Linked DNA regions of Rhinolophus ferrumequinum. The protein of the gene in region 4 purifies or fractionates together with the protein of the main gene of each other region. This does not show direct contact. Links are inferred from orthologs where the notes say so. Each region holds a gene or a part of one and is shown on either strand. Other genes may lie near its edges.

Region 1 (7,263 bases), about 4.2 Mb from region 4:
CTCCAGTATCGCTTAACTCTCCTGTCTTCTGAATGTTTTAAATGAGAAGTAGGATGCAGGCAACAGGGCATGGGGTTTCAACCTCCAGTGTGTGAGTCTGGGCACCTCTCCCTACCTCAGTTTCCCCAACTCCCAAACCAAGGGAGGTTGAGTTTGTTCTAGTTCATTGGCTCAAAAGTAGAGAGAGTTATTCAGAGGCTGTGTCTGTGCTGAGAGAATATCTGGGAAACGTCCCAAGAGACCCAAATGCTCCACAAAATGGACGTCCACCGAACCTGACACATGCGTGGTGGGAGGGTGGCTTTGACAATGGGTAGAGTGGAGAGGTGAAGCTCACTGCCTGCTTGGCAGCTTCCATGAAGCCTTCTTGGCTCTTGGTGCCACTCTGACCCCCTGCCTTGTGGCTTTTCCACATGTGCCAGGACCATGTGGACCCCTCTATTGGTGGGATTGTGCCTCAGAGTGTTGGAATGTGGCCAGTCCTGGTAGGACAGGTTACCTGGTGGGGTGAGGCGTAGTTGCCCTAACCAGTTCTCAAAGTGTGGTCCCCGGGAGGGCATGGTCTCACAAGGTGGGCTGGCTGAAAAGTGAGGACTAGACAGCTTGGAGAAATAGTAAGTTCCCTGTCCTTGGAGGTATTCAAGCAGTGGCTAGAGGGCTACCTGTTTGTGCTGTAGTAGAATCCTGGCATTGAGTGGGACTGTACTAGAGACTGCTGAGGCCCTTGTGCTGTGTTTTTCTGTGACATCAGACATCCCACCTCTGTGCATCTGTGTGGTTGACACTGACCCCTTTCTCTTTCAGATGCTACTCCCATCGAGACACCCAGAGGGAAGTCCCAGCTCAGTATCCTCTCCCGGGCACCACTAGTACGATGGGTCCTCACACTCAGTTTTCTGGTGGCAACGGTTGCCATGGGGCTTTATGCCATGTGAATACACACGTACACACGTGTTGGCTCCTGGGGCCATGAACTCTGTCCAGCGGAGGACCCTCTTTCTAGAGGGAAAATCTCAGCTGGCTTCCTTCCCTTGGGCATGGGGGGCTGTCAGCACCCCCACCCTCCTTCCCTCTCTGGAAAGGAAGAAGGAGACTTAAGTGTCTTCCCAACCAAAAGTACATCCAGCCAATGACCTGACCTTCCAGAGAGGGATGAGGGGTCCTTGCCCAGCCCTCAGAACACTCCCCTCCCCTACTCCTGCAGCAGAGCCCAGAAGTAGCAGCCAGAAGTAGCAGCTGTCCTGAACCTCCAAAGGCCCTGGGGTCACAGTCTCCTTGTTGACTTGCCATGAACGCTTTCCTCATGGGCCATGGCAATTTTCATATAAATGTGCAAAGATGTTGTGTCTTGTGTTTGTCTTGTTTTTGTTGGAGCCACTTTTTGTTCCCAGCTCAGCCTGAACTGGGGTGGCATTTTGTTGTGTTCTGTTTTTTTTTTTTATAGCAGGGTAAGGGTGGTTGGGTGGGGAGAGAGGTGTTTTTAACAGCACTGTGGCCTTGGTCCCTAACTTTTATGTGAAATAATAAACTATATTGCCTGATATAACTTGAAGTGTTTTTCTTGGGCTGTTACCTTGGGGAACTGACCTTTTCCTCACTTGCTTCTTGGATGTCTGGTGGGGAGAAAGGGTGCAGGAGCCTGTCTTAGATGTTGTGTTCTGTTCTGAGAATGGGGGCTGAGCTTTAAGTAGTTGGTGGGTGTATCTTTGTGGTGAACCCTGCTTGACGCAAGACTCACCTTTACAGAGGATAGCTTTGCCTTGTTAGGCTGAAATGAGCAGATTCTGGGATAAAATTTGAGTCTTGTCCAGTGAATCTTAGAGACTAGCGAGAGATCCCTGGGTTCAAGACCCTGCCACTCCACTTTGTCACTCTGCCTACAGAGGGGTCAGTTACTAACCCCTCTTGGGGCTCAGTGGTGTCACCTGTAACATGAACACAGTGAGACCTACCTCACCTGCCTGTGAAGCAAATGAGATGCATGTAAAATGCCAGCATTGTACACTTGCCCCTATTATGAAAACGAGGGAGATCGGGGTTTTGTGATTCTTGCTAAGTGGTTCTTGTACTGGCAGTCACCTCACCTATGCCATCTCATTTAATCCTCACAGTGAGTCTGTGTGACGAGCGGCACCACCCTGAGGGGCAGGAAGGATTTACCCCAGGTCTGTTCAGCTCTGTGACCCAAGCCTTTCCCTTAACTCATGAAAGCCATCAGCTTATTTAAAATGCAGAATCCCAATCCGAGACAGTGAAAGCCCCTCGCTGAAGGTGTATTTAGGAGCGCAGGGGACAAGGCCTTTCCTTAGACAACTAGTAGGTGAGGACTGGGAGTCAGGACGTCCTTTGTCCCTGGTTCTGGTTTTGTCACTACGTCTGGAAACTTGGACAAGTCACTTCAAGTCTCCTTTATTCATTGACAAAATGAGAACAATACACCTACTCCAGTGGTGTCCTAGCACCAGTCAGTGGATGGTGGCATCATGATCACCCAGATATTCCTGGGCCCCACTGGAGAGGTTCTGATTCTGGAAACCTGGGGCTAGATTCTGGAACCCTGTGTATAACAGGCTCCCCGGGAGATTGCGAAGGGCAGCCAAGCAACAGGAGCCACTGTTTATGAGATGGTGCATGCAAATCGTAGTCATTCAAACAGCAACTACAGCTCTGCCCACCTTGGGCCCAGTGTGGGGACAGAGCCCCAAAAATCAGTTTCCAGGCTCTCGGCCTCACATAGAAAGGTGCTGGCTCAGGTAGTAAATGGCCATCGACTGTGAGCAAATGGCCAGCAGCTGTGGCTAGTTGGCCGTCAGCTGTAACCAGTGAGCCATTAGCCATGAATATAACTGCCGTGGCTAGGCTAGCAGGAAAAAAGGGGGAGCTAGCAAGAAGATGGTGGCTGAGCCTGCAAGCAGTGCAGTGAGGGTTGAGAATTGTGTTGCTCCTGGTTCCTGTGTCTCCAACCCAGCCGCCAGCGAGAGTATAGTGGTGTGACTCCCCTGCCTATGGCTCCGTGGATGTTCCTTTTTGGCCTAGCCATACCCTGCGTTCTTATGTGGGGGGCGGGAGCAGAGACCCCGCCTGGATCCCCTGCACTACACATGGCGCAACGAGCAGGGTCCCCTGCACGACACCAGTTTCCAGTTTTCTGTGAAAGGGGCATGATATTCATGGTGGTGATGGAGGGCGGGTGGGAGGCGGGAGAGAAAGCATCTTGATTCTACTCTCAGGAAAATGGTAATAGTTTGCCTTCTATTCATACTATGGAAAATTAAATCACTGTTAGATAGAATGAAATGTTTCCCGTCAGAGGGACTTCCGTGCAGTATTAAGCAGAAAAGCGTTTCCGATTTATTTGGTATTTTTATACACTGTGAAAAGACACATTTCAAACATGCCTTGCAAACATGTTTGAGTGACCGTGGCGGACAATACAAAGTTCTTTCCAGGTCCTTGAGGGGAGGTGGGTAGAAATGAAGAAAAGTATGCCGTCCTTGTTGCTGCTTGAGAACGCGACGAGTTTGGCCAAATACTCCCATTTTTCAAGCTCAGTTGGGAACCCGGTCGTGAATTTTCGCCAAGGTTAAGCATTTCCAAATAATTTAAAATCGACAGTTAAAACAAAAATTCTCCTTTAGGTCTAAGAAAACATCCTTGAGTCCTAAGTTTGGGACGATTTTGTTCCCAGAGGCGTTAAGGAGACCAGAGGTGACTTGTGCCTGATCAATCTCCCAATCTTAGAAGAGTCTGTTATTGTGAGAACACGGAGCAGGGGTGCAGGTGGCCGCGCCCCCGCCCCCGCCCCCGCCCGCTGGACGGCAGCGGGCTCGCACCCCGCAAGCGTGTACTTCGTAGGGACGTATAGCTTCTGAACCCTTGGTTCTTTCACCCCGTGGCTCTGAAAGGAGTTATTTTTCTCAAGAGATTTTAGAAAGCCTCGAGAAGAGTACACAAGCGTCCTCAGCACGCCCGCACTGTCCCTCGGCCCGAAAACCCACCCCTCCACCATCTTTACGCCAGGCCCCACCCCTCCCCTTCCCGTCATAAATTTCGCGCCAAATTGCCCGCCACACAAAATGGAGCCCGGAAGGAGACCAGGAGTCCTGACATCATGAGCCCCTCAGCCAATCCGCTTCGGCTACTGGCCTTGGAGGCGGGGCTTGAGGGCGCAGAGCGGTCCAATCAATGGCCGCGGGGCCTCGGCTAACCAATTGGGGCACAGCAGCCGCAGCGTCCGAACGCGGCCTCTCGTTTTTCCCGCGAAACTCGGCGGAGAGTGTCGGGGTGCCTGTCTCTCCGAGTCCGTGGAGTGGCGGAAAGGAGAGGTGAGGCCGGTGGAACTGGGGAGTGGGGACCCGGGAGCCCGCCCCACGGGGGGTCGGTAGGCTATGGATGGGGGCGCAATAAGGGTGGGTAGGGGTATCCCCTGGGAGAACTGGGGTCAGGGTCCCCCACCCCTGAGTCGAGACACACCCGCCTCGCGTTCGGAGCGAGGGACCCAGGCATCGGTCGCCGCGCGCTGCCCCCACTCTGCTCCAGCTCTTTTTCTCCGCCAGGTGCAGGCATGTCAGGCTTCGACGACCTCGGCATTTTCTACAGCGACAGCTTCGGGGGTGACAACGCGACCGATGAGGGGCAGGCCCGCAAATCGCAGCTGCAGAGGCGCTTCAAGGAGTTCCTGCGGCAGTACCGCGTGGGCACCGACCGCACCGGCTTCACCTTCAAATACAGGTGCGAGCCGGAGCGGGGGCGGAGGGGAGCTGGGCAGTCTCCACGGAGAACCTTGCAGTGTCATAGACAGTCCAGACACGGATGGGGAAACAGGACGAGAGGAGGAGGAGCCTGTCGCGGGTCTGCGGGTTTTGGTCCAGCAGTGCGTCATCAGGCACTCCCCTCCCCCCCACAAACCTATGGCCTATGGTTTCCTGTGTTTTATACCTGGAGTTAACTTTTGAGCCAGTCTTCTGCTGAATGGGCCTCCGCCAACCCAGCTGGAGCTACGTGGGCCCTTTGGTTCGTTGTCCATTTCTTGTTCCTGTTTGTCTGCTGTTTCTGTCCTTATACATACTGTCAGAGATACTTTCTTGACCCTAGTTGTCTCTGGGTACAGTAGGTGAAGTGGGAGTTATGATTCACTTCACTCATTCATTCGTTCATTCCTCTCTTGGAACCACTATTGATTGAGTGCCTGCTGCATGCCAGGCACTGTTCCAGGTGCTACAGCACTGAACGATCTGGGCTAGGTCCCTGCTTCTAGTCATTGTGCAACCTGTGACATCATGCCACATCATTGTAGGCCCTTCAAACATGCGTTTGCAGGTCCAGGCTCGGGTGACAGTCTCTCTGGGCCTCAGTTTCTTCGTCAGTAAAATGGGCATAGCCATTTCTGCTTCCATTTATTCACGCACAAGCTAACATTGATCACCCATGTGCCAGACACTGCTAGACACTGAGATAACAGACGCAAAAACATTCGTACTACTTGCCTTCGAGAGCTCAGTGGGAGCGATGCATAAATTAGGAAGTGATAGTCACCTCAAGGGAGGAATGTAAAAGAGGAGTTGGGGAAGACTTCCAGAGGAGCCAAAGTTCTGGGTGACCCTTGAGCCGAGAGAAGAGTCGTGGTGTGGGAGGCATTCCACATGGCAGTTGCATGGGCAGAGGTATGGGGTGGCCTGTTGTAGCAAGGGGCTCTCTGGGCCAGACAGGCTGCTTTATGTGGCTCCCACGCATAAGGTAGAAGAGGATGAGGCCTGAGGTGAGGCTTGGGAGCCGGCTCTGCGTAGGTCCGTGGTCCCCAAATGTGTTTGGTACAGTCGTGCTGTGGAATGCTCTGAAAAGAATCTGTGATGGTTGACAAGATACAATGTCTACTCTCGTGTGCCTCCCCAGTTCTGGGGCGTGTGCCTCCCCAGTTCTGGGGCGTGTGCCTCCCCAGTTCTGGGGCGTGTGCCTTGTTAGTTTCCCAAGAGAGTCCTGCAATGGAAGCACTGATTTGCAGTGAGAGTCTCCCCAACTGACCTGTGCGTGGAACCTCGTCTTTGAGGGTTGAAATATCCTTCCACGGAGCTTTCTTTGGAGGCTGCCTCTGCTGGCAGTAGGGACCTGTTGCGTCCAGCGCAACACGGGCACTGAGGGTGCGAGAAGGGGTGGCTTTGGGTTAAGTTTTTAAGAAAGAAACATACAGAGACTTAATGCAGTTAAATCTCAGAAGGCCAGGGGTCTCACAGTTCTGAAAGACTGGAGCCCAGATATGAGCCGACTGGAGGTTTTTATTGATAAGTATACAAGGGAGTAGCAGTGTTTTTGGCACGGTCTGTGGGACTCACCACGTTATAGAAACAACCCAAACCAATTATGTTGATCTTCAAACAGCCGAAGCAGAAAGTCCTTGAGGTGAGGTATGCAACTCTTTTAAGGGACATATATCACATGTCGAAATTGTTTCACAGAGCTGAGCAGAGACAGCTTAATCTTATCACTCTCAAGACTTTTCTCCCAATTAGGTGAGAGGGGAAGCCAGAGTCAGCAGCGACTTTTCCCAGGCAGGGGGAAGGGGAGACAAGGCCCCTTCCCAAATCTTTCTAAGGCAGCTCATTGGGGGTCTCCATGGGGTTCCGCCTGGCTTGAGTTGTCCCCGCCGTGGGGAATCTTACTCGTCATTGGCCGCAAACCCTCTTTTGGAGACTAAATAGAGAGAAATATACAGTCCCAGAGATACACAGTCTCACAGACTCTTCTTTCCTTAAGGAAAGACATGGGGTGTGGGAGTCGGGGGCAGGCTGCTAGGCTGTTGTGTGACAACAGGGATCCTTTGCAGAACCCCCTGGAATTCTGTGTGCGTTTGGGGAGCGACGTGGTGAGCAGTGTTGGTGATGGTAAGGGCAGGTTCAGGGTGCAGGTGTACCTTAGCCAGTGTTGGTTGCTCTTTTCTGCCACCTGCCCCCTCCAGGGATGAGCTCAAGCGGCATTACAACCTGGGGGAGTACTGGATCGAGGTGGAGATGGAGGACCTGGCCAGCTTTGACGAGGACCTGGCTGATTTCTTGTACAAGCAGCCAGCCGAGCACTTGCAGCTGGTGAGTGGGACCCTGTCTCTGACCCCCCAGGGCTGGCCCTGCTCGTCACCAACGGCCTGTCCCCTTCCTTCTCTCTAGCTGGAGGAAGCTGCCAAGGAGGTGGCTGACGAGGTGACCCGGCCCCGGCCCATCGGTGAGGAGGTGCTCCAGGACATCCAGGTCATTCTCAAGTCAGACGCCAGCC
Region 2 (7,850 bases), on a different chromosome or scaffold from region 4:
GTTATGTCAAGAAGGCTCTGCTGAATCAAATGCATCATCACAGTCTCTACTTAATTTTTGGAGAGCTCTCTCTTAAAATAAATTATTCAGTGTGCATCAGGGTTGTGGTACAGTTCTCACGTTTTTAGAGGGTATATTTCGTTACCGAGCTTCCATCTCGTTCCCCACACACTGCTGGGCTCTCTGTGACTATTGATGTAAGACACTGCACCGGGTGCTGGAAAAGTCATGTCCATCTTGCTCCCTGAGCTCAAGGAACAGACCAGCTCCAAGGGTGCACATAGAAGGTGAGAGCTTATGAGGTAATAATCACTCTAGTCTTTCATCTCGTTCTTGGCTGTGTAATTCAGGATGGTCTGAATATTTTCTTCATCCTTTTCTATCAGGTACTGTGATACCGGCCAGGCACGAGTAATGTGTGTGATAATGTACTTAATAATAATAAACTCCTTAGCACTCCACTTACCTTTGTGTAAGATAAGTTTTGGTAAATGTTATCAGTCTTTACCTGGTAAATATTTTAGTTTAGTAAATATTTACTGAATATTTAGTAAATATTCAGAAAAGCCCTGACATATTACTTTAACCACGATTATAGTTTTCCTGCAACTTTCTAATGAGCGTGTTTTATTCCACAGAAGTTATGTGAAGACAGAGATTCATGACATCACAGACAAGATGATTCAAATAGGAAGCATTTACTTTGAAACTTTTAGCCTGTCGTGGTACTCAAGTCTCATGTAAATGGGAATATTTTGTACCATTTTAAATTCAAAAACTATAGTACAATGGTTCAACGTTCATGTCTACTACTTAATTTTAAAATGTTTTGAGACTCTAATGCAAAGTTTTAAACATAACAAGTAAAACCTGAATGTAAATAACAATGATTTCAAAGTTTAACAGTGCTCCCCCATTTCCAGCCTGGAGTCAGCAAAGAAGAAACTCATCGAAGGTTCTCTCTGGAGGGACTCTACAAATCTAGTCTGCTCTGCTTCGTACATACACAAGGACACTAATTTCCAGAGAGATCACGCAATTTGCCAAAGGTCACACAGCTGGTTACAGTGACAGTGCTGAGCTGAGAAGTCTGCACTCTCCTGTGTGGACAGACTTCATTTCACTTTTTTCTAGACTGACATCTTACAATGAACAATTCATGATAATTTACAAAATATGTATAGTCATAATTCCCTAAATAAGATATTAACAATCCAATCACAGATTTTCTTAAGTTCATTAAATTGCTTGGTGTATCTAATGAAGACTAGTATTTTTTGAGCTCTTACTGTGTGCCCAGCACTGTACCCTGAGTTTATGTTCATCACCTGGCTGAATTTTCCCAGCAACCTCATGAGGCAGGTATATATGAGTAAACTCAGGCATAGAGAGATACATAGCTTGTGCAAGATCACATACTAGCTACTAGATGGGACCAGCTCCTAGGTGCTCTGGATGGCACTGCAATCCAGGTCTGTCTGTTTCTAAGTTTGCACTTTTAACGAGAACTTGGTACATCCTCCCTTTCAACTGGGCTTTCCTATTTCTCTATTTGAAAATGTACTTTTAACACATTATAATTTGGAGGTACCTATACTTTCTTACATCTTTGTAAGAAGATTGGAAATTTATCTCACCGTATTTCTTGCTTCGTTCATTAACTTAAATTGAGCTTCATTGTGTTAGACCAAAAAGAAAAAAAAAATAAGTTAAATGGAATAGCATCTTGAGTCCACTGAATTTAGCACTCATATCAGTTTATGTCACTTCACTATGAATCAGCCTTTAATGTCTTTCCTCTCTTGGAGGCAAAGCTAAAGTCCTTACAAAACCACCTGCAAGGTTGCTTGCTATCTCTACCTCCTCTCTTCTCTCTTAACTCTCTGATCTCACTTCCTATCTTTCCTCTCAGGCCTCTGTATTTACTGTTCCCTCCACCTCTTCTAGATGTTTGCTCAAATGTTACCATATTTCTTAGGCTTCCTTGACCACCTTATTTATAGCTGAAAAACTCACCCCCCACCTCGGTACACCTCGTCCCTCTCCTGTTTTTTATTTCCCTGTAGTAATTGTTACCATTCCTATTTTATATTTGTTGACTACTCTCCCTAAGAGAGTGAAGGCATAATTATGTAGTTCACCGCTGTAGTTCTAGGATACCAGTGCCTAGACCTCTATAGGTCTTAGAGAAGATGATCAAAAATGTATTTGCTGAGTGAACTGTAGCACGTATGTACACACCTTTGCTTCAGCCTCAAAGTGTAAACTATGTGTTCTGAGTACCCTAACTTTGTAATGCTCTCTCATAGATCTAGTACCCATGGGTAATTGTCTAATCCCTTTTTGCTACTGAGAATTAATGTGTCCCCTCTTCCACTCTATATTCTTGGTAGTCTCTAGGATTTCAAAAAGGGGGAATTTTAAGTTCCTTATAGGTCCCTCAGCAATTTAGAGGAAGTGATCTATACTTTGACTGGTCTCTATAGAACAGGACAATCATGATAGCATTAAACTCTAAGTAGAAAAAACAGGGGCTGCCCCTTAGTTCAGTTGGTTAGAGTGCAGAGCTCCTAACAACAAAGCTGCTGGTTCGATCCACATGTGCCACTGTGAGCTGTGCCCTTCACAACTAGATTGAAACAACTACTTGACTTGGAGCTGATGGGTCTGGGGGTGGGAAACACACTTAAAATAAATAAAAGTTAAAAAAAAGAGAGAGAGAGAAGCAAAAACAATTAGTAAAATTATCATTATATGTACTTTCAAATTGTAAAGTAGATTCTACCCCTTTGTAGAAAGGACAATGTAAGGTGATGGCTCGACAGTTTTACAAAAACTGTTTTTCTTTCCAATGTTGTTTAAGAAGGTCCAGTTGTAAGGAAGGAGCACTGGGGTGAGAGGGAGAGCCTCTGCAACCTGGGCTGTAAACTGAGCCCACTGAAGATGTTCTCCAGGCTACATCGAGCTCAAAAAGTCTGCAAAGCTCTTGGAGTTAAAGCCATGGAACTATCTCCTGTCCATCTACAGTTATATTTCATGTTTATTATTAACTGATTTAACCTACCAACAATGATTATTATAAAGATATTTAGATATGTGAACTTTATTTTCATAGTTTAAAAATGTAAATATCTAAGGACACTTACAAACTTAAAGGACCGTCATGCTAACTATATTTAACTCTGATTCATTAAGAGACTAATTATTCAGTTTGTGAACATGTAAGCCTCCTGTGGCTCTCTTCCCGTTTTTGAACACGGGCAAAGAATTTGAAAAGTTAAAATTCCAGCTTGTGACTTGTTTACAAGCTCCAAGGACATTGTAACCAAAGGCTAACAGGAGTTTTTGGCACTATTTGGAAGTTCCTATTTTAGGTGCTATCCCTTCTACCTCCAGTAAGCTGAATTAAGAATTACCAGTACTGTACATGGTCCATTAATTTCAACTCAAATCACTTTACAAATGTTAATATTTCATCTTTATATACTACTGCCTGGAAAAATAACATGTTTGTTAAAGGCTATCGAAAAGAAACTTAAAAAAAACAATAAAATTAATCTAAAACATACTACCTATGGGAAAGTTTACATGTATATTTTTCCAAATTTCAAATTAATATTGGGGCCGCATTATTGTGCCAGCTAAAGCATCAAATAGTGGGTGTAACAGACCTCCTTAGTCAGAGATAGTGGAACACTGGCTGGTCCCTGTGCAGATTCTCTGAGGTTTAAGATGTTTACCTCCACCACAAATCTAAATTCTGGCCCCCCTATCTAAAACCTCAAGAACATAACACATCTTTTATTTAGTAAAGAAAAAATTACTTCTGAAAGACACCAAAATAACAGATTTTGAGGGTGACAAGTCTCTTTTTCTTTTTACAAAATCACAGCCCTTTATTTTTCACACGTTTTTATTAGTTTCAGCAGGATTTGGTCAAGAGTATTTCTACAGAAGTATGAATAGAATCAAAGTGTAGGATTTAGCTGGGACTTTACACCTGGACGACCAGGTCCTAAGTGGGACAGAATGTTTTACGTTTTTGGTTTTTTTTGGTAGGTAGGTAGAGAACACCCAGAAATGCAATTCTGAGGCTTCATTTCTTTGGCTATTAATACTACGAGAACAGCTGCCAAGACAAGGCCCCTCAAGTACGCTTTGCGGTATGGAGCAGGGATCACGCTCTTAAGGCAAGCCTCCATCTCCCAAGCCGTGCAGTAGGGGTTGTGGACGAGACAAAAGAAAGGCTTTGCCCTCGCCCCTCCCGAATTTAAAATCCAATTCACAGGCAGGACTTAGAAAAATTAAACGAAATATTACGCGGAAGAAAAACCCCTGCGTGTAGTAATTGCCAATTTGTGTCGTACAAATCAAAACTGAAAAATTGAAACCAATAGCTGGATAAGGAAAATCTAAGATGGAAGAAATGGTGGAGGATTCGAATTGAAACCGCCAGGTTGAGGACTGAAAGCATTTGGATAAAAGCAGCCTCAGGGCTGGAAAGGCAAAGAGCAAAACGAGTACTGCCACCAAAGAACTAGAAAGGCCAATAGTTGTTGCAGTGGGTCGGTTTAACTGAAAGGCGGTTTCCTTTCCCTCCATTTGCTCAGTCCCAATTGGAAGCGCACTGCGCGGCCCGGGCCGCGCTCTCTGCCCAGAGTTCGGCGTGGGGGCGGGGAGGTAAGTACGGTAATGGGCGGGCCCCGGCGCGGGCGCGCTCTGGCTTCCCTCCTGCGCAGCACTCCCGTCAGCGCAGGGGGCGGGGCGGCTATAATACGTGCGCGGCGCCGCCCCTGCGAGAGGACGTTGCGTGCTCGCTCACGCCAGGCGAGTCTCCGCGTCTCCCTCGCGAACTCGGTGAAAGGAATTGGCGCCGTTCGACACCAGGCGGGTCCGCTCTGCAGCACGAACCCACCTCCAGCCGCAGCCGCCGCCCGGGCCGAGGAGCAGCCGCAGCAGCCGCCACCAGTGGCCGAGTGAGCGGAGCCGAGTTCGAGCCAGCGCCTAGCGGTGAATCGGGGCCCTCACCATGAGTTCCTCGCCTGTTAATGTAAAAAAGCTGAAGGTGTCGGAGCTGAAAGAGGAGCTCAAGAAGCGGCGCCTTTCCGACAAGGGCCTCAAGGCCGAGCTCATGGAGCGACTCCAGGCCGCGCTGGACGACGAGGAGGCCGGGGGCCGCCCCGCCATGGAGCCCGGGAACGGCAGCCTAGACCTGGGCGGGGATTCCGCCGGACGCTCGGGAGCAGGCCTCGAGCAGGAGGCCGCGACTGGCGGCGACGAAGAGGAGGAGGAGGAGGAAGAGGAGGAGGAAGGGATCGCCGCCCTGGATGGCAACCAGATGGAGCTAGGGGAGGAGAATGGGGCCGCGGGGGCGGCCGACTCGGGCCCGATGGAGGAGGAGGAGGCCGCCTCGGAGGACGAGAACGGCGACGACCAGGGTTTCCAGGAAGGGGAGGATGAGCTCGGAGACGAGGAGGAAGGCGCGGGCGACGAGAACGGGCACGGGGAGCAGCAGTCTCAACCGCCGGCGACGCCGCAGCAACAGCCCCAACAGCAGCGCGGGGCCGCCAAGGAGGCCGCGGGGAAGAGCAGCGGCCCCACCTCGCTGTTCGCCGTGACGGTGGCGCCGCCCGGGGCCAGGCAGGGCCAGCAGCAGGCGGGAGGTAAGAAAGCGGAAGGCGGCCGAGGCGGCGGCCGCCCCGGGGCTCCGGCAGCGGGTGAGGGCTGCGTGGTAACGTTGCGCGCGGCAGGAGGCCCGCGCGGGTGTGGACCTTGCTTTAGGCCTGCCGGGGCCCCGTGGGGGGAGGGAGCCCCGGGCGGGGGCCGCGGCGCGGGTGGCGGTGGAGGAGGGGCGCGGGGAATCCCGGATTAGCCGTGAGGCCTCGGGCTCGGTGTGTGTGACGGTGGTGGCAGCGCCTCCATTATGTGGCTCGAGAGCCAGGGGAGCTGCAGCTGCCGCTGGAGGGGGAGGAGCCGCGGGCGGCGGGGGGAGCCCCGTCGGCCCACGGTGGCGCCGCCGCGCAGCGTGCGCGCGGTGCGGGCACATGTCTCGGGGGGAGGGGAGAGGCCCAAGGGCCCGGGGCGGGCGCGCTTTGGCGGCTCTGGGCCGCGGTATTGTGCAAGGAGCGCAGGGGCTCGCGTGACGTCACTTCCGACGGGAGGGGCCGGGTGGGGAGAGCGGGGCGGAAGATCTGTACAATGCGGCCGCGGGGAGCGCGGGCCCGGGTGGGGTGGGGGAGGGGAGGGGAGGGCGCGCGGGCTCGGCTCTGCCCCTCCCGCCTTCCTGAACTCTCTTCGGGATGCACGTGGGCTCGGCCTGTGCGGCGCTATTTTTCATTAGGTTTCTCGAATTTTCCACTAGACTGGCAAAATTTGTGGTGTTTATACTGCGTCACTAATTTCAATCCTATTCCAAGCTGATCGTTTGAATTCTCATTTGAGTCCGTTGTTTGAAAACGCTTCCAGAAAGGAACAAGGAAATGTCGAGCTTTTTTGCGTCTCAAAACAAAAGGGTTTTTTTCTGTTGTGTTTGCGGCTTGGCCTTCTAAGTAGGGGTGTTGTGTGTTATAGGAGACGGCAAAACAGAGCAGAAAGGCGGAGATAAAAAGAGAGGTGTTAAACGACCTCGGGAAGATCATGGCCGTGGATATTTTGAGTACATTGAAGAAAACAAGTATAGCAGGTAGAGGACGCTCACCTAGTTTTACTTGTCATTCATTCTTTACTCTTTGGTGGGAAAAGCTGTATCAGGAGACAATATTGTCTTTCAGAGCCAAATCTCCTCAGCCACCTGTTGAAGAAGAAGATGAACACTTCGATGACACAGTGGTTTGTCTTGATACTTGTAAGTGAAGCTGCTTCTTCCCTTTCCTCCCTCAATTGTCAGATGCTGTAATTTTGGGGTTCCACATGTTAGAAAACGGAATGTAACATTGAACTTTAATGCAGAAAGCTTAGGAGAAACAGGTTTTTAAAGGCAGGAAGATGATGACATTCCGATACCTTAATACTTAGTATAGCAGCAGTTGTATTGTATTGATAATTTTACGGGTTCTAGCAATTTTGTAGTATTTTTTTTATTACTTGAACTTTCTCCTTTGTAGGAATGTAAAATTAATGCCAATTTTGATTAGTTAGCTAATGGAAACTTGTAAGACTACTTATAACTTGTGCTTATGGGCTGCTTCTATAAAGTAATTTCATTTTTTTGTGTGGAATTATATTAAGTGAGCTATTTGGACTAAATATTTATTAATGACTTCTCCCATTAGCACACAAGTATATTCCCTATACTAAAAGATTGTAATATTATTTTCTCAATAACTGCTCTTTTGTTCTCAATTCCAGTTCAGTAGCTGCTGCTTTAACATAAGTTGATTTCTTCCAAAGACCTGGGGCAGCAGCAGTGGGCTATCACTGGGCCACTAGCTTTCTTCAGCAGCGAATGGTATCAATGGCAGCGCTGTAAATACTGCTCCTTTACCCAGTTGGGTTGCAATTGAGTATGAGGAAGTATTGCAAACCTCTAAATGGGCCGTGGCTGTCAGATTTGGAATTCTTTTTTATCACAAAGAAATTTTGTTGGTTTAGTATATGATCAGAATGTATAATTCTTTCAGTGATTAAGCAGAACAAAAGGTAGAAATAATTGTTCGAAAAATAAGGTGTTAACCTGCCCTGTAGATCCTAGGGAGTTGAAGCTTAGAGTTTTCATGTTTTCAATACAAATTGTATTTATTCAGATATGTAAGCATGTAAGTGTAAAATTTGATGTCTTACTGAGTACCCTTTACACCTAGTAAGGTAGTGGAGTAGTCTTTATAAAAAAAACTGCACATGGAAAAGTAGTC
Region 3 (6,841 bases), on a different chromosome or scaffold from region 4:
GAGAGCAGAATACTGAAGTACGTTTTCTATATATGGAATATTAGGAGAATTTTGAATATAATTATGGTCTAGAGCAAACGGTAGCCCATGGACCAACTTCAGATGGCGGGCATGTGTTGTTTGTCTTGCATTCTCATATATATATATACACACACACACACACATATACATATATACATACATATATATACATATATATTCATATTTAATTTAGTTGCCCACGCTTAAAAGCCAGCATATGGTACATGAATATTTGGAGTTCTGGCTTGTCTTGGAATATTGCAGAGCTGGTAAGGTAGGTCCTGCATCTCTCCCTGAATCGTCAGCTGGAACCAAGTACCCCTTACCTCCTTGAGATGTTTAGTTTCTCACGGTTCTTAGCCACCCTGTTTACTCATTGTCATTACTGGCTGCAGTTTATGTTTACAACCCTGATGTAGGATGTAAGATGTTGGAATTACCTGGGAGGAGATGTCTTTGTTCTTTCTGTTAGTGGGGCTCCAGATTCCATAGACGTAGATAGGAGTAGGAGATTGGGATATATATATATATATATATTTTTTTTTTTAAAGAAAACAGTTTTATTGAGATATAATAACACAATAAACTGTACATATTTAATGTATATACAATTTGAGGAGTTTGGACATATTTACACACCCATGAAACCATCACCACAGTGTCTAGGTAATAAACATACCCACCACTTCCAAAAGTTTCCTTGTGTCTTTGTGTGTGTGTGTGTGTGTGTGTGTGTGTGCGTGCGTGTGAAGAACACTTAACATGAGGTCTACCCTCTTAAATGTCTAAACGCATAAGACTGTATTATTGACTATAGGGAGATGTTTTGTAACTAGATCAACTGGACTTCAGGAAGAGAAGACAGTATACAAATAACTGAAGTCTAGGTGACATCGACCCATTCGTTGAAAAGCTGAAGAAGCAGGTTTTGGGGAGATTATAATAATTTCAGTTTATGGGGTTTGAGGTGCCTGTAGATACCCAGGTGGAGGTGTCCAATAGGTCCTTGAATTAGTGGAGCTGGAGCTCAGAAGAAAAGACTGGACTAGAAATCTAATTTAGTAATTGAGCTCCTCCATCAGCAATAGTGGACCAAATAATGTGTCTAATCCCTGAGCTGAAGACAACTAAAATGTTGGATGAAATCTTTTAAAAATCAAAGCACTAGTAAAACAGTGAGGAATTATTGGTGTGAGAGCAGAAAAGGACAGGAAAATAGAGAGGTGAGACCAGCAGTGGGACTGCTTTTACCCTGGGGTCATTTGCTGGTCCGCATCGGTGGCGGAAAAAAGGCTGTGTGGGGCAAGTGAGACAAAAGTTGGAGTCCAAATGTCCCTAAGGGTGAGAACCCTGGTAAACCACTGTACTATTTGGGGTTAGGTTCCTGGAAGGCTGCATTCCTAGGGAAAACCTAAGAGTAGGTAGAAAATCCAGCTCCAAAATATTCAAAAACCAAAATTCAGAACCAATTGATGGGTTTCACAGCAAGTTAGACTCCACTGAGGATCAAGTAATGAATCAGAAGGAAGGACAGAAGAAATTACCCAGAATGAAGCGTGGATAAAAAGGCATGAAAAACATACGAGAGAGTTAGAGGCATAGAGGATAGCATGAGAAAGTCTGAAACACCTTTATTTGGAGCCCAGGACAGAGGGAAATAATAGGATAGAAGTCATATGTAAACAGATAATGGCTGAGAAACTTAAAAAGTGAGTGAACTACATCAAGCCACAGATTCAAGTTCAACAAACCTCAAATAAGATGAAAAACAATTCCCTATTTAGATCCATCGGAGTGAAAGTGCGGGAAATTAAATAAAAAATAAAGCCTTTAAAATAGTAAAACGTATTGAGTACCCTCAAAGGTGCAGCCATTAGATTGACAACGTTTTTTTCACAGTAAAAATGGAAGCCATAGACAGTAAAAGAATATTGTAAATGTGCTGAAAGAAAATTAGTCCCATCTAGAAACCGATACCCAGAGAAAAAATGTCCTTCAAAAACAAAGGTGACACAAAGACGTTCAGACAAACCACAACCAAGAAAATTAGCTACCAGCAGAGGGGTACTTATTCTCCAGCAGAAGGATCAGTCCAGATGAATGGTGAATGGTTGGAGTTGCAGGAAAGAATCAAGAACGTTAACAACGGTAAATCTAAAGGACCACAAATTTAACTAATAAGCGTTAATGCCTTGTGAGATTGAAAATATATAATTTAAATTCTGTGCACATATATCTTACACCTACCAAGATGTGGAATGCATCTGACCACAAGAATCTTGTACACAAATGTTCATAGCAGCTTTATTCATAATGGCCTCAAACTGGAAACAACCCAAATGTGTTTGCCTGTGTCTCAGCCAGTTGGAGGTCCTGAATTCATCAAGAGGAGAAAGGACAAACAAACTATGGTGTATTTATGCTACTCATAAACAAAAAAATTAATTGCTGATAAATGCAAAACCCTGGAAGAATCTTGAAACGTGTCAAGCAAAAGAAGCGAGGCAGAAAAGAGTACAAACACTCTGAGTCTATTTAAATGAAGGTCCAGAACAGACAAAACTCATCTATGATAATAGAAATCGGAACAGTGATTGTCTCTGTGGGCGGGGCAAAGGGGTATGAACCAACTTTCTGAAGGGATAAAAATTTCTTTATGTTGATCTGGTGGTGGTTACATGGACGGGCTACATCACTCAAAGTTTCTCGAGCTGTAGGCTTAAGATCTGTGCATTTTGTTGTAGTAAATTATACATCAATAAAGTACTTAAAAGAATTACACAACAGCGATAGTATATAATTCTGGAGGGAGTAATGGTGGTAAATAGAATTAAATTATTCCTGCATTTCTCACGAAGACGGTAAAAGTATTACATAAAATTAGACTTTGCTAAATTAAGGATGCACGTTGTAATTTTTAGGGTAACCAACTAAAAGAGTAGAAAAAGAGTGTGTAACTTTCAATTAACAGAGACTGGGAGGTAATAGTGCAAAAGAAGGAGGCAAGTAGGGAAGAGAAAGATTACAGGAGGGACAACGCACATAGTAATATGATTGATTTAAATGCAAATACAGTATATACGTATATGTGGCTGTTAAAACCTCCTAAAAGGGTGAAATCCGTCAGTTTGTAGAGAGGGAAGAAGAGAGATGGGGGAAACTGGGCAACGGGGATGGGTCTGGCCCTTCTGTCCTTACTACTTCCCTGCTCTTTTTCTGAGACCTGTTTCCAAAGCTGCCTCAGTTTTGCTTCTAGTCCCTCACCATCAGTGTTTTCCCCGCTCTGATTCAGTCAATATACTGCCCCCTTTTCTTAAATCCGCTTCTGCGTTAGTGTTCATTGTTGCCTAATTCCTTTCCTATTCCCCCCCATTTCACTTGCTAATGGTAAAAACAGCTTCTCCAGGCTGCTTTTTAGAGGCAGAAAAAAATAGAAAGTGGTGTTTACACTTACTGAAGTTAAAACTTGTACGGTATATGAGGGAGGAAAAAAACATCCGATAGCAGAGGATGGTTTCGATCCATCGACCTCTGGGTTATGGGCCCAGCACGCTTCCGCTGCGCCACTCTGCTATCTGGAATCTCAGCTACTCATCACTCCTATAGAAAGTGTTCTGCGTGGCCTCGCTCACATCTTTATATAACGCCATCTAGTGTCTGGTAAGAAAAATTGTCATTTATCAAGTCTATTCTTATTGGCTACTTCCTGACACACAGGCGTTTTTTATTGGTTCCTAAGCAGGCTTGCCAGAGTAAACCAATAGGCATAAGCGGAGGATTAAGGCGGGAGCCAATCACGCCGGAGTTTGTTGGGACACGCCGGCAAGCCGCCTCTCCAGTTATCGGTTTCTCCGAGGCAAGGGGCGGTTGGAGTGGTCTCCATTGTTCGGGGTTTAGGACGCCATGAGGTAAGGGCACGGGATTCCTCTGGGAATGTGTGGGGTGTTTGACCGAAAAGTTTGGGGAGGGGGACCGAAAGGAGTCGGAGGACCTGGAAGGACCACGTGTCTGGGGGCTGCCCTAAAACCTGAGAACTCGGGGTCGGGGCGAGTGGGAGGTCGGAGGCCGCGGAGGCGGGGAAACCTGGGCCTGGGATGGGGGTGGGGCCCAGGAGTGGGGAGGCGGGTTTGACGCCTGTCTGCGGGGTTTAGGGGAGGGGGTGTCCTCCGATCCCGGGAGGAGCACCGCGCTTCCCCCCATCTAGGCTGAGGAGGCTGGAGCGTGCTCCTCCATCCTCACTGCCAAGTGCCCGGCTGCATATGCCCGATGAACGTTTCGCGACGTTAATGACTCAATGAGCAGTCCCTCGAGTCTCAGAAGTATTAGGGTTGGCGCGTCCCGGGAATTATGGGGTATTTCTTACAGGGGTCGATGTGGGAGCCCCGCCGTCGTTTGGTGTAGTTGTGACTACATTATCCAGAACGAGGGCGCGGGGGTGAGGCTGGCCGTCGGGACCGGGAGACGTGAGGCGGGCGCCAGCCGCGGAGCGGGGATTCTCGGCTCCCAAGGGAAAGTTCAGGGCGATGGCGGCAGGCTGACTTGAAATTGTATGACCGGGGGTATGGTGGAGTGATATTTTTAACGAGGCCGAAACCACGTTCGAGTCTATTTTCGTGTATTCTAGGGGTGACAGAGGCCGAGGTCGAGGTGGGCGCTTTGGCTCCAGAGGAGGCCCAGGAGGAGGGTGAGTGCCAGCTTTAACCTCTTTGCTCTGGTTACTGTCTACGACAGTCACCTAAACAGGAGTTTGGAGGGGCCTAATACCTGCTTTGGTGCGATCCTGCTGTGTGGTTCAGAAACAAAGCCAAAGGAGTTGGACCCATCATGCTAAGTCGCTTGATTTCTGTGGTTCCTAATTTGGGTGGTTTTTCTTGTTTTAGGTTCAGGCCATTTGTGCCACACATCCCATTTGATTTCTACTTGGTGAGTACCATAGCCCCTGTTCACCCGTTGCCATAGAAATGGAGCCTGCACACTCTTCACTTGTGGTTTCCTGGAGCCCAGCATCTCCCTGTAAATGAAGTCAAATGGTGGTTGCAGTAGGAAAAAGGATTAGGGAATGGAGTTGGGGTTTTGAGTCAGCTGTGTGTTGCTTACATGCAAAAACAGTGTAAGCAGGGTGGGTCAGATCTGTGGCTACTGTTGCCAGTGACGTGACTGTAGTCTGAATGTTAATTGTATCTCTGGCCTATCTGTTATTATAAAAGTAGTGACAGCTTCGATTATGGTTATTCCCTCCAGCTTGGATCCTTGTTTGAACATCTTAAGGAGTAAAAACAAGTGTTGTAGAATTTTCTATTTTTATTCTATTGTAGCAACAGAAAAACAACCTCTCCTCTTGGTTTTGAGAGATAGTACATAGTTCTTTGTTTCTGATTTAGTGTGAAATGGCCTTCCCCCGGGTCAAGCCAGCGCCTGATGAAACTTCCTTCAGTGAGGCTTTGTTGAAGAGGAATCAGGACCTTGCTCCTAATTCTGCTGAACAGGTATATTCTTTTGGCTTCCTTCCTGAGATTTCACTAAGAAAGCCAGAGAAGTGAATAATACTGGTGAGGTTACTGTGATCAGAGCCCACACTCCACAGAGAGTTCACAGCGGTCCCCTCTTACAGTGGAGATAACGTCCAAGACCCCACTGGCGGCCTGAAACCATGGATAGTACCGGACTCTATGTACACCATCTTTTTTCCTATACATACGCACCTGTGCTAAAATGTAATTTATAAATGAGGCACAGTAAGGGATTAACAATAATAGAACAGTTATAATATACCATAATAAAAGTTATGTGAATGTGATATTTCAAAATACCTTATTGTACTGTTCTTATTCTTCTTGTGATGATGCGAGATGATACACGCATACATGATGAAGTAAGATGAATGGTGAACGACTGAGGCACTGGCGTGGCCTTAGGCTACTATGGAGAGGGCTACTGGCCGGGAGCGAATATAGTGTGGATATGCTGGACGAAGGGATGATTCACAGCGCGCCATTTAAAACTTATGAATTGTTTGTGGAATTTTCCGTTTAATATCTTTGGACAACAGTTGACTGTGGGTAACAAACCACATAACGCAAAACTGGATAAGGGGGGAGCAACTGATTGTTCTCCTTCTCATTGTGGGTGGAGGGAGAGTGCCAGATGAATATATAAATATTTACAGATGTGTTCATATTTTTATTGGGGAATCTATGAGATCAAACAGTTCTCTTCTGGAATGCTCAAGGCCAGAGGGTCAGAGTGTTTTTAAAGCACTATGTGGGAATTGACTCAGCTTGTATGGAAAGGATTAAGAGGAATATTCAAACTGAGAAGTTGCTTGTAATTTTTCACCGTAGCTTATTTTTGTTTCCTGCTGTTTTCAGGCCTCTATCCTTTCTCTGGTGACAAAAATAAACAATGTGATTGACAACTTGATTGTGGCTCCAGGGACGTTTGAAGTGGTGAGTTTCTGATGACCTAGTCTAGTTGTAGGGCAGCCGTGGTAGTATGGAAATTTCATTGGCTCCTGTCTCTTAATTCTTCTATTATCTATTACCCAAAGCCAAGTCTAAAATGGGAAAATACAATGGAATTCCTTTGTGGAACTGATCTTGGGACAAGACTTACATCATTGTTATCAGCTAGCCATGATGTATCAGGCTTTTCATGTGGTTTTTGGGATATGACTTGACCTCTGCAACTTCTAAGTCTGGGTGATAAAATGCTGTGTTGTAGTTGAGTTTGCAAAGGAAGAAGGCAGTCTTTTCACTTCTTTTTTTCCCCCTGAAATCCTTCTTCCAACAGCAAATTGAAGAAGTCCGACAGGTGGGCTCAT
Region 4 (7,087 bases):
ATAAAAATAATGCATACAAAAAAAAAAGTTTTCTCTAAACTATCCCTAGCAAACTCAAATGTAAAATCCATTACCATTTTACACAAAAACTAAGAAACAACCCAAAAATCTACAGGTGAAAACATGCCTAATGGTGGATCTATAAGAATTTCTGAACGACACTATAATAAATGCAAAGGAATAGGTTACCCATTATTTGCATGCATCCTGAGAAAAAAGGTTAGGTTACCAAAAAAAAAAAAATCTCTGAACACTACAGAAACTTCAAGGCGTAAGGACAGATCAAAGTTCACGCATTGCTAATGTTACAAGCCTGAAGTAGAGGAACTCTGCAAAAATCCTTAGTTTTTGCTGATTATCTTAAACTCGTAACACATTTTTCTTATAAAAGCAAAGAAACGACAGCATTTGCCATACCCTTACATTTTCACCCTTTAAGATGAAGCCTACTTAGAAATGTGCTGAAAAGTTCTCTACAAACTCAAAGGGTACATTTAGCTCCATTAAGTACTCTCACTGGCAGATGGAGGGATGACGTTGAGCTTGTTCTTGGGGAGTTCAAGAGATGCTCCGTAGTAAGGGGGGGGGGCGGGGGAGGGAATCTTGTGGACGGTCAAATGGCCAGCCATTCTTCCTCTTCATTATCCTGGCACCCCAAACAACTATGACAGCAAAAGAGAAGGCCGGTGGTCATCAGGACAGCACCAAACTAACTGTAAGAAAGAGATGATGGAAGGAAGTCTCCCGGACTATCTCTTGTGAAAGGGCTATTCCACAAAGAATTCGTAGAGATTTTTTTAAACTGAAATCTCCAAATATGTTTAAAGCATAAAAAGGCAAAAACACACAAACAAGGCACATTTTAAAGTTGTGTACCATCAGTTCATGGTTGGGACTCTTTGAATTTCTATCTTGATTTCCAAGCACTTCACTCCACAAAATCAGTATCTCCCCCCACTGCCCCCCCAAGACAAAGTGACTACGAACTGCAAAGAAAATGTCCCTGCTCTCTCCCACCTGAAAACCCAGAGTTTCAGACATTTTGGTCTCACACCAAAGAAATGGAAGATGTAAAATGAACTGCGCTCCATATTGATTCTTAAAGCAAAGGAAAAAAAAAGCTAGGAATTGTAGGTAAAATCATTCAAACCAAATTTCAGGTTTTGACGTTAAACCTCACGTCAAACATGAAATCCTGGAATCACACCCACTAACAAATAAAACCAAGATTTTTTTTTACACCTTCATCTTTAACAGAAAATCTTGTGCAAAAAAGAGAAAATCTTGAAAAGGAAGAGTAGAAAGTAGAGGAAACAGAGTAAGTGCAACCAAGGCGAAAGGATTCGCAATTCCTCATTTATCAACAATAAAAAATTAAAAGTAAAATTGCATAAAAAGCCCTTACCCACAAATGCATTGGCATATCCAAAATCAAACTGCATGGAAACAATAAGTGCCATTTCTATATCACCACTCAAGAGCTCTAATTCCAGAACACATATCGATATGACATAATGTTGCAACGAATGTATTAGGAAGCAAAGAAAATGGTTGGGCTACTGGACGTCTTCGACCAGCTCATTCAAACACCTTTAAAATTAATCGAGAGAGAGAACTAGGAAGAGAGAAAAACGAAGAAAATATGGAAGAATAAAGGTCCACCGAGCAGAAAAGATGAAAGGGGATGTGGGAGGAGAGGACTCCCGAGACTAACCTGTGCCATCGCTGGCCGACGCCGAGAGGGCCGGAGATGAGAGTTTAGGCCGCTTGGCTGAAGGCGGCCCCGGTTCCACCACATTCTCGGCCATTTTTAATTCTTTCGGAGATACAGGCGAGGAAAACGAGAATTCTCGGGAAATCTCTTCTTCAGCCCGGGATCCCCGCCCCGCTCCCTGGGGTGGGCCTGGGGGGCTCCGCCAGCCCCCGAGGGGGGTGGGGGAAGTTCCTTTTTCTCTTCGCCGGGTCGCGGTGGCTGTGGAGGGATGCGGACTCGATAGAAAGGTAGGGGCAAGTGCGAGGGGCCGGGCCTGAGCCCAGGCCGGGAGGAGGGCACAGGAACACAAATCCGCCGAGCGCGTCCGCTGCGGCGAATTCCCGAGAACTCGCGGCTCTAGAGGAGCAGTCCCCAGTCCGCCACGGCCGGCCCCTGCCCAGCCGAGGTCTCTCGGAGCTCCGCCGCCGCCATCAGACTCTTCCTCCTCGGCGCTGTCCTCCTCCTTCTCATCGCCACAAGGAGGCGGGGGCGAAAAGGGGGGAGAGGAGGAGGCGACAAGACACACTCACCTCCTCCCGGTGCCCCCTCCCGGACCTGCGCCCCCACCCTCCGAACCCTCCTCCTGCTGCCGGGCTCCGCGCCGCCGCCGCACCGGCCCCTAATGGCCGTAGAGAGCTCGCCGGAGCCGAGAGCCAGGCTGGCGCCGCCGCCTCACATCGCGCGGCGGGCGGCGGAGGAGCGGCGAGGACGCCGGGCGCGGAGCTCGCCGGCCCAGAGGGCCGAGGGGGCCGGGCCGAACAGTGCCGCCCGCCCGCGCCGACGCCGAGTCCACCGACGAGGCCCCGCTCCGGAGGGTGGTGCAGGCGGCCTCCCCTCGCGCCGCGCTCTCTTTCGCCCTCCTCTCCCGCGGAAAATAAATAAATACGGCCGCCTCTCCGGCCCCCACCCCCGGCGGCCAGGTGCCGGGAGCGCCCGCCCCCCAGGGGCTCCGCTCGGGGCCGCCCTCGGCGGCGGGCGAAGGCGCCGCGGGGCGCGGGGTTATGTAATGGTCCCCCCTAGGCGTCGACGCCGGCCCGGCTCCGGGGCCGCGGTGGGGGTGTGTGCGGGCGGGAGGGGGCTGGGGGTCGCTTCAGCCCTTGCGCCCCGGGCCCCCTGCCACTGTCTCGGCCCCTGCCGCCTCTCTCCGGCCCGGCTCCCCTCCGCACTCTCGCTCCCGCAGTTCGCACTCAGTCCGACGTCCCGCTTGCCCACTCTCGCCCGCTCCCTCTCGCCCTCTCTCCCCCCCAGCCTAGCACACAAACAAGATGGCGGCTGTTGTTTCTTCCCTCTGTCGAATCCTCCTTACGGGCTAGCGGTAGCAGCGGCGGCCGGAAATGAGCCAAGGGGGGGTGAAAAAAAGGGGAGGGGTTGGGCCGCGGGAGAGAGGCGGTGAGGGGGCGGGGCCTGGGCCCGAGTCGCTCACACAATGGGGGAAGAGGACCCAGGGGCGTGGCCAGTTGCAATCACGGGATCCGCCCAAGGCCCCAACGCGGTTGGCGCTTCCGCAAACTCCCCCGGCGTCACCCGGTGGCTCCGTTTAAAGGGGAGGATTTGAAGGGGGGTCGGGGGCGGACTCGGGACCTATTTTCAGTCGGTGGACACTTACGGGGGAAGGTGCCGGGGTTGGGTATCTGCGTAGGGGACCGGTGCGGAGCGGGGGTGACGGAGGCCGGGAGCTACGCCAGGGAAGGCGCCAAGTCACCGCGCAGGTGGCGGAAAAGGAGCGCAGTGGGAATGGCCCTGCTCCCCAGGCTCTTGGGCGGTCGGTTTTTCGAACCCGGTTGAACCCACAACTCCCGAGTACCCCGCCGCCCGGTGTTCCTGGCCAAAGACCTAATGCGTCCTCTCTCCCCTCCATCGCTTCCCCAAAAGGAACGGGTTACATCCCAAAACCACACTGATTACAAGTTGTTTCCTTTTTCTCTGAGTTTTACAATTTTTTGACAACGAGTGTGTATTTTGATAATTAGAAAACAAAAATCACAGCAGTTGGAAGACGTTTTAGGACCTAAATTTGTTTCTTGCCCACCACGTGTCCACACGCCCCTACCAGGTATCACTGACACCAAAGGGGCCTTCAATTATTTTTCTTAACTCATCTGGGACCTGAGAACATTTTAGGGCGTTTCTATTCGCCCACCCCCAATAAACCAGCTTAATAAAAGACGCCGTTTAGGCAGTGCCTTAAAGATAATGTAATTATGGAAAAAGCAAAAACATAATGTGCTAAAGGTAATGTAAGGATGGAAAGAAGCAAAAATAAAGTGCGCTGTGTGAGACAGTTTTGCAGAGGAGGGCCTCGCCAGCGCCAGCATGCTTTCACATTCCTACACATTAGGGAAGGGATTCCGCTGTGTTTGGCCTTGGGTAAATGGTACTTGAGGAGGTGGAAAAGTTGTTAGTGCTCCCCAAGGAAACCCCCAAACTAGCACCTATGGAGAGAATTAAAAGCATTTTAGCATATTTCAAATCTCATGCTCCCTAGCTGCTTATTGTTGAGTTTACTTTGGTTTTTGTTGTTTGCATTTTAAATGAATGGTGAGAAGAAATAAGAACCTAGGAGTGAAAATCTTTTTTTATCAAAAAATATTTGGTTTCTCTCTCTTTTTTATAAAGATTTTTATTAAAATATAGGTACTATATAATATTATATTAGCTTCAGGTGTCTACCATGGTTCATTCAACATTTGTATACCTAAAGAATTGATCACTATGATAAGTCCAGCAACCATCTCACACAGTACCACCCTATCACATTATTACTGACTATATTCCTTATGCTGTACATTACATCCCCATGACTTATTTGTTTTATATCTGAAATTTTGAACCTCTTATTCCCCTTCACCTTTCCCCCGCTTTTTAAATTTTTTTCAATTACAGTCGATATTCACATTCTTATATATTAATTTCAGGGGTATAACATAATGGTTAATCATTTATATAATTTAAGAAGTGACCCCCCCTGACTAGTCTATTACCTGCCTGGCACTATACATAGTTATTACCATATTATTGACTATATTCCCCATGCTTTATTTATATCCCCATGACTATTTTGTAATTACCCATTTGTACTTCTAATTCCCTTTTTCACCCTGCCCCCAACCTCCTCCCATGTAGAACCCTGATAAATCTAGTATCCATCTGGCACTACACATAGTTATTACAATGTTATTGATTATATTCCTTATGCTATACTTTATATCCCCATGACTCTTTTGTAACTACCAATTTGTAGTTCTTTTTCACTCACTCGCCCAACTCCACTTCCAGCTGGCAACTGTTTTCTGTATCTATGAGTTTGTTTCTGTTTCATTTGTTTGTTTATTTTGTTCTTTAGATTCCACACATAAGTGAAATCATATGCCATTTATTTGTCTTTCCCTGTCTGATTTACTTCACTCAGCATAATACCCTCTAGGTCAAACTATGTTGTTGCAGATGGCAAGATTTCATTCTTTCTTATAGCTGAGTAATATTCCATTTTACCACCTCTTTTTAATCTGTTCATCCACGGATGGACACCCAGGTTGCCTCCATGTCTTGACTATTGCAAATAATGTAGCAATGAACATATGGACACACATGTCCCCTCGAAGTAGGGTTTCTTCAGATAAATATCCAGAAGTTGGATTACTGAGTCCCTTGTCTCTTGTTATAGCCTTTGTTTTAAAGTCTATTTTGTGTGGTATAAATATTGTTACCCCAGCTTGTTTGTTTGTTTCCATTTTCGTGAAATATCTTTTTCCATTCTTTTACTGTTAGTCAGTGTGTGTCTTTCGATCTGATGTGAGTCTCTTGTAGGCAGCATATATAAAAGTCTTATTTTCTTACCCATTTAGGCACCCGATCTTTTAATTGGGTGAGGCGAATATTGGTATGCTTGATGTTGTCCCAGAGGCCCCTTAAACTATTCTCATGTTTTTGGATTCTTTTTCTCTTTTTGCTGTTTGTTGGTTTCTTTTTTAGTTATCATTTATATCCCTCACACTATTTTTGCTGTTCTGATTGGGTATTTTCTGCTACCTTATCTTCTAAATTGCTGATTCAATCCTCTGCTTCATCTAATCTACTATTGATTCCCTGTAATGTAGTCTTCATTTCAGTTATTGTATTCTTTATTTCTAACTGGTTCTTTTTTATAATTTCTATCTCCATTTTTATGTTTCTGATCTCTTTGTTGAAGTTCTCCCCGAGATATTGAACATCCTTATAACCGGTGTTTTGAACTCTGCATCTGGTAGATTCCTTGTCTTAATTTTGTTTAATTCTCTTTCTGGGGCTTGTTTTGTCCTTTTGTTTGGGACACGTTTCTTTGTCTCTCCATTTTGGCTGCCTCCCTGTGTGTGTTTCTATGTATTAGAAACGTGCTTCTATGTCTCCTGGTCTCAGTAGAGTGGCCTTATGCTCAGTGGAACAGTCTCCCTGATCACCCGGGCCGGGTGCTCCAGGTATGTCCCCTGTGTGGGTTGTGTGTGCCCTCCTGTTGTAGTTGAGCCTTGGTAGCTGTTTGTATGTCAATGGGAGGGATTCATTCTCAGGCTGATTTGTTGTGAGGACTGGCCGTGACAACAGTAGAGGAGCTGTGGTGCAGGGGCTGACCCTATGGAGCAAGATTCACTTTAGCAGGGCTCTGGTGCCTGCCCTTTGGGTGTGTCATTCTTGGAGGCGGCTGGGTGGTGCTCCTGCTTGGTCCGAGGCTGGCCACAATGTATGCCAGCCCCGGGGACCCCTGGGAGAGGCTCCACCATAAGCCAAGTTCAGCTGCAAACTGTTCCCTGCCCAGAGCCACAGAGCCTTGCATGAGCCACAAAGCAATCCACAGATGGCCACCACCGTGCTGGTCTTGGAGGTGCCTTGAGAGGCTAAGCCCAGAACTGAGGCCTTCTGTCACTAATGCCAGACTCAGAGCTGCTCAGCAAGAGGCACAGGACACACTGAAGCCAGATGCTGCTTGTTTGGGGGTTGTGAACCTTTGAGTGGTTTTAGGAAAGTCCACAGCATGAGCCAAGACAGGCTGTTTGTATGGAAAAGCCACTGGAAGTGGCTTGGGTGGGCCGGAAAGTTGGGTGGGGTGGGGTCTCAGGGTGGGGTGGACAAATAGTATTAACCAGGTTGATGGAGACTCAGATATGGTGGCCAGTAGGAGTGAAAATCTTAGTGAAACAACTTAGGTTGCCAACAAAGATTTATTCTATTGTATGATGTTCAGGCCTAATTCATCCAAACTACAGTAGAAAAGCAGGCAAATTAAAAAGGACAGTACTCCTTTATCTTAAAGTTGTTATAGGATGGATCCAACATGTAGGGCTAAAGTCAAAATTGGTCTTC

Evidence for each region.
Region 1: the proteins of EP300 (region 4) and MCM5 purify together in Homo sapiens (affinity purification with mass spectrometry; 3 studies listed by BioGRID and IntAct, with this or other methods). This does not show direct contact. The link is inferred for Rhinolophus ferrumequinum from reciprocal best matches to the Homo sapiens genes EP300 and MCM5.
Region 2: the proteins of EP300 (region 4) and HNRNPU purify together in Homo sapiens (affinity purification with mass spectrometry; 3 studies listed by BioGRID, with this or other methods). This does not show direct contact. The link is inferred for Rhinolophus ferrumequinum from reciprocal best matches to the Homo sapiens genes EP300 and HNRNPU.
Region 3: the proteins of EP300 (region 4) and ILF2 purify together in Homo sapiens (affinity purification with mass spectrometry; 4 studies listed by BioGRID and IntAct, with this or other methods). This does not show direct contact. The link is inferred for Rhinolophus ferrumequinum from reciprocal best matches to the Homo sapiens genes EP300 and ILF2.

The regions. Positions count from the first base shown.
Region 1 is NC_046293.1:10,965,178-10,972,440, reverse strand, and holds the start of MCM5 (DNA replication licensing factor MCM5), read left to right. Parts: upstream 1-4,256; 5' UTR 4,257-4,325; intron 4,326-4,556; 5' UTR 4,557-4,564; coding exon 4,565-4,731; intron 4,732-6,952; coding exon 6,953-7,079; intron 7,080-7,157; coding exon 7,158-7,263. Other genes in the region: HMOX1 (heme oxygenase 1), read left to right, coding at 805-935. UniProt on the Homo sapiens protein: Acts as a component of the MCM2-7 complex (MCM complex) which is the replicative helicase essential for 'once per cell cycle' DNA replication initiation and elongation in eukaryotic cells.
Region 2 is NC_046310.1:16,462,149-16,469,998, forward strand, and holds the start of HNRNPU (heterogeneous nuclear ribonucleoprotein U), read left to right. Parts: upstream 1-4,835; 5' UTR 4,836-5,029; coding exon 5,030-5,663; intron 5,664-6,570; coding exon 6,571-6,682; intron 6,683-6,770; coding exon 6,771-6,844; intron 6,845-7,850. UniProt on the Homo sapiens protein: DNA- and RNA-binding protein involved in several cellular processes such as nuclear chromatin organization, telomere-length regulation, transcription, mRNA alternative splicing and stability, Xist-mediated transcriptional silencing and mitotic cell progression.
Region 3 is NC_046305.1:52,588,837-52,595,677, reverse strand, and holds the start of ILF2 (interleukin enhancer-binding factor 2), read left to right. Parts: upstream 1-3,825; 5' UTR 3,826-3,924; coding exon 3,925-3,929; intron 3,930-4,645; coding exon 4,646-4,705; intron 4,706-4,901; coding exon 4,902-4,944; intron 4,945-5,402; coding exon 5,403-5,507; intron 5,508-6,389; coding exon 6,390-6,467; intron 6,468-6,810; coding exon 6,811-6,841. UniProt on the Homo sapiens protein: Chromatin-interacting protein that forms a stable heterodimer with interleukin enhancer-binding factor 3/ILF3 and plays a role in several biological processes including transcription, innate immunity or cell growth.
Region 4 is NC_046293.1:6,788,284-6,795,370, forward strand, and holds the start of EP300 (histone acetyltransferase p300), read right to left. Parts: upstream 3,017-7,087; 5' UTR 1,809-3,016; coding exon 1,715-1,808; intron 1-1,714. UniProt on the Homo sapiens protein: Functions as a histone acetyltransferase and regulates transcription via chromatin remodeling. Acetylates all four core histones in nucleosomes. Histone acetylation gives an epigenetic tag for transcriptional activation.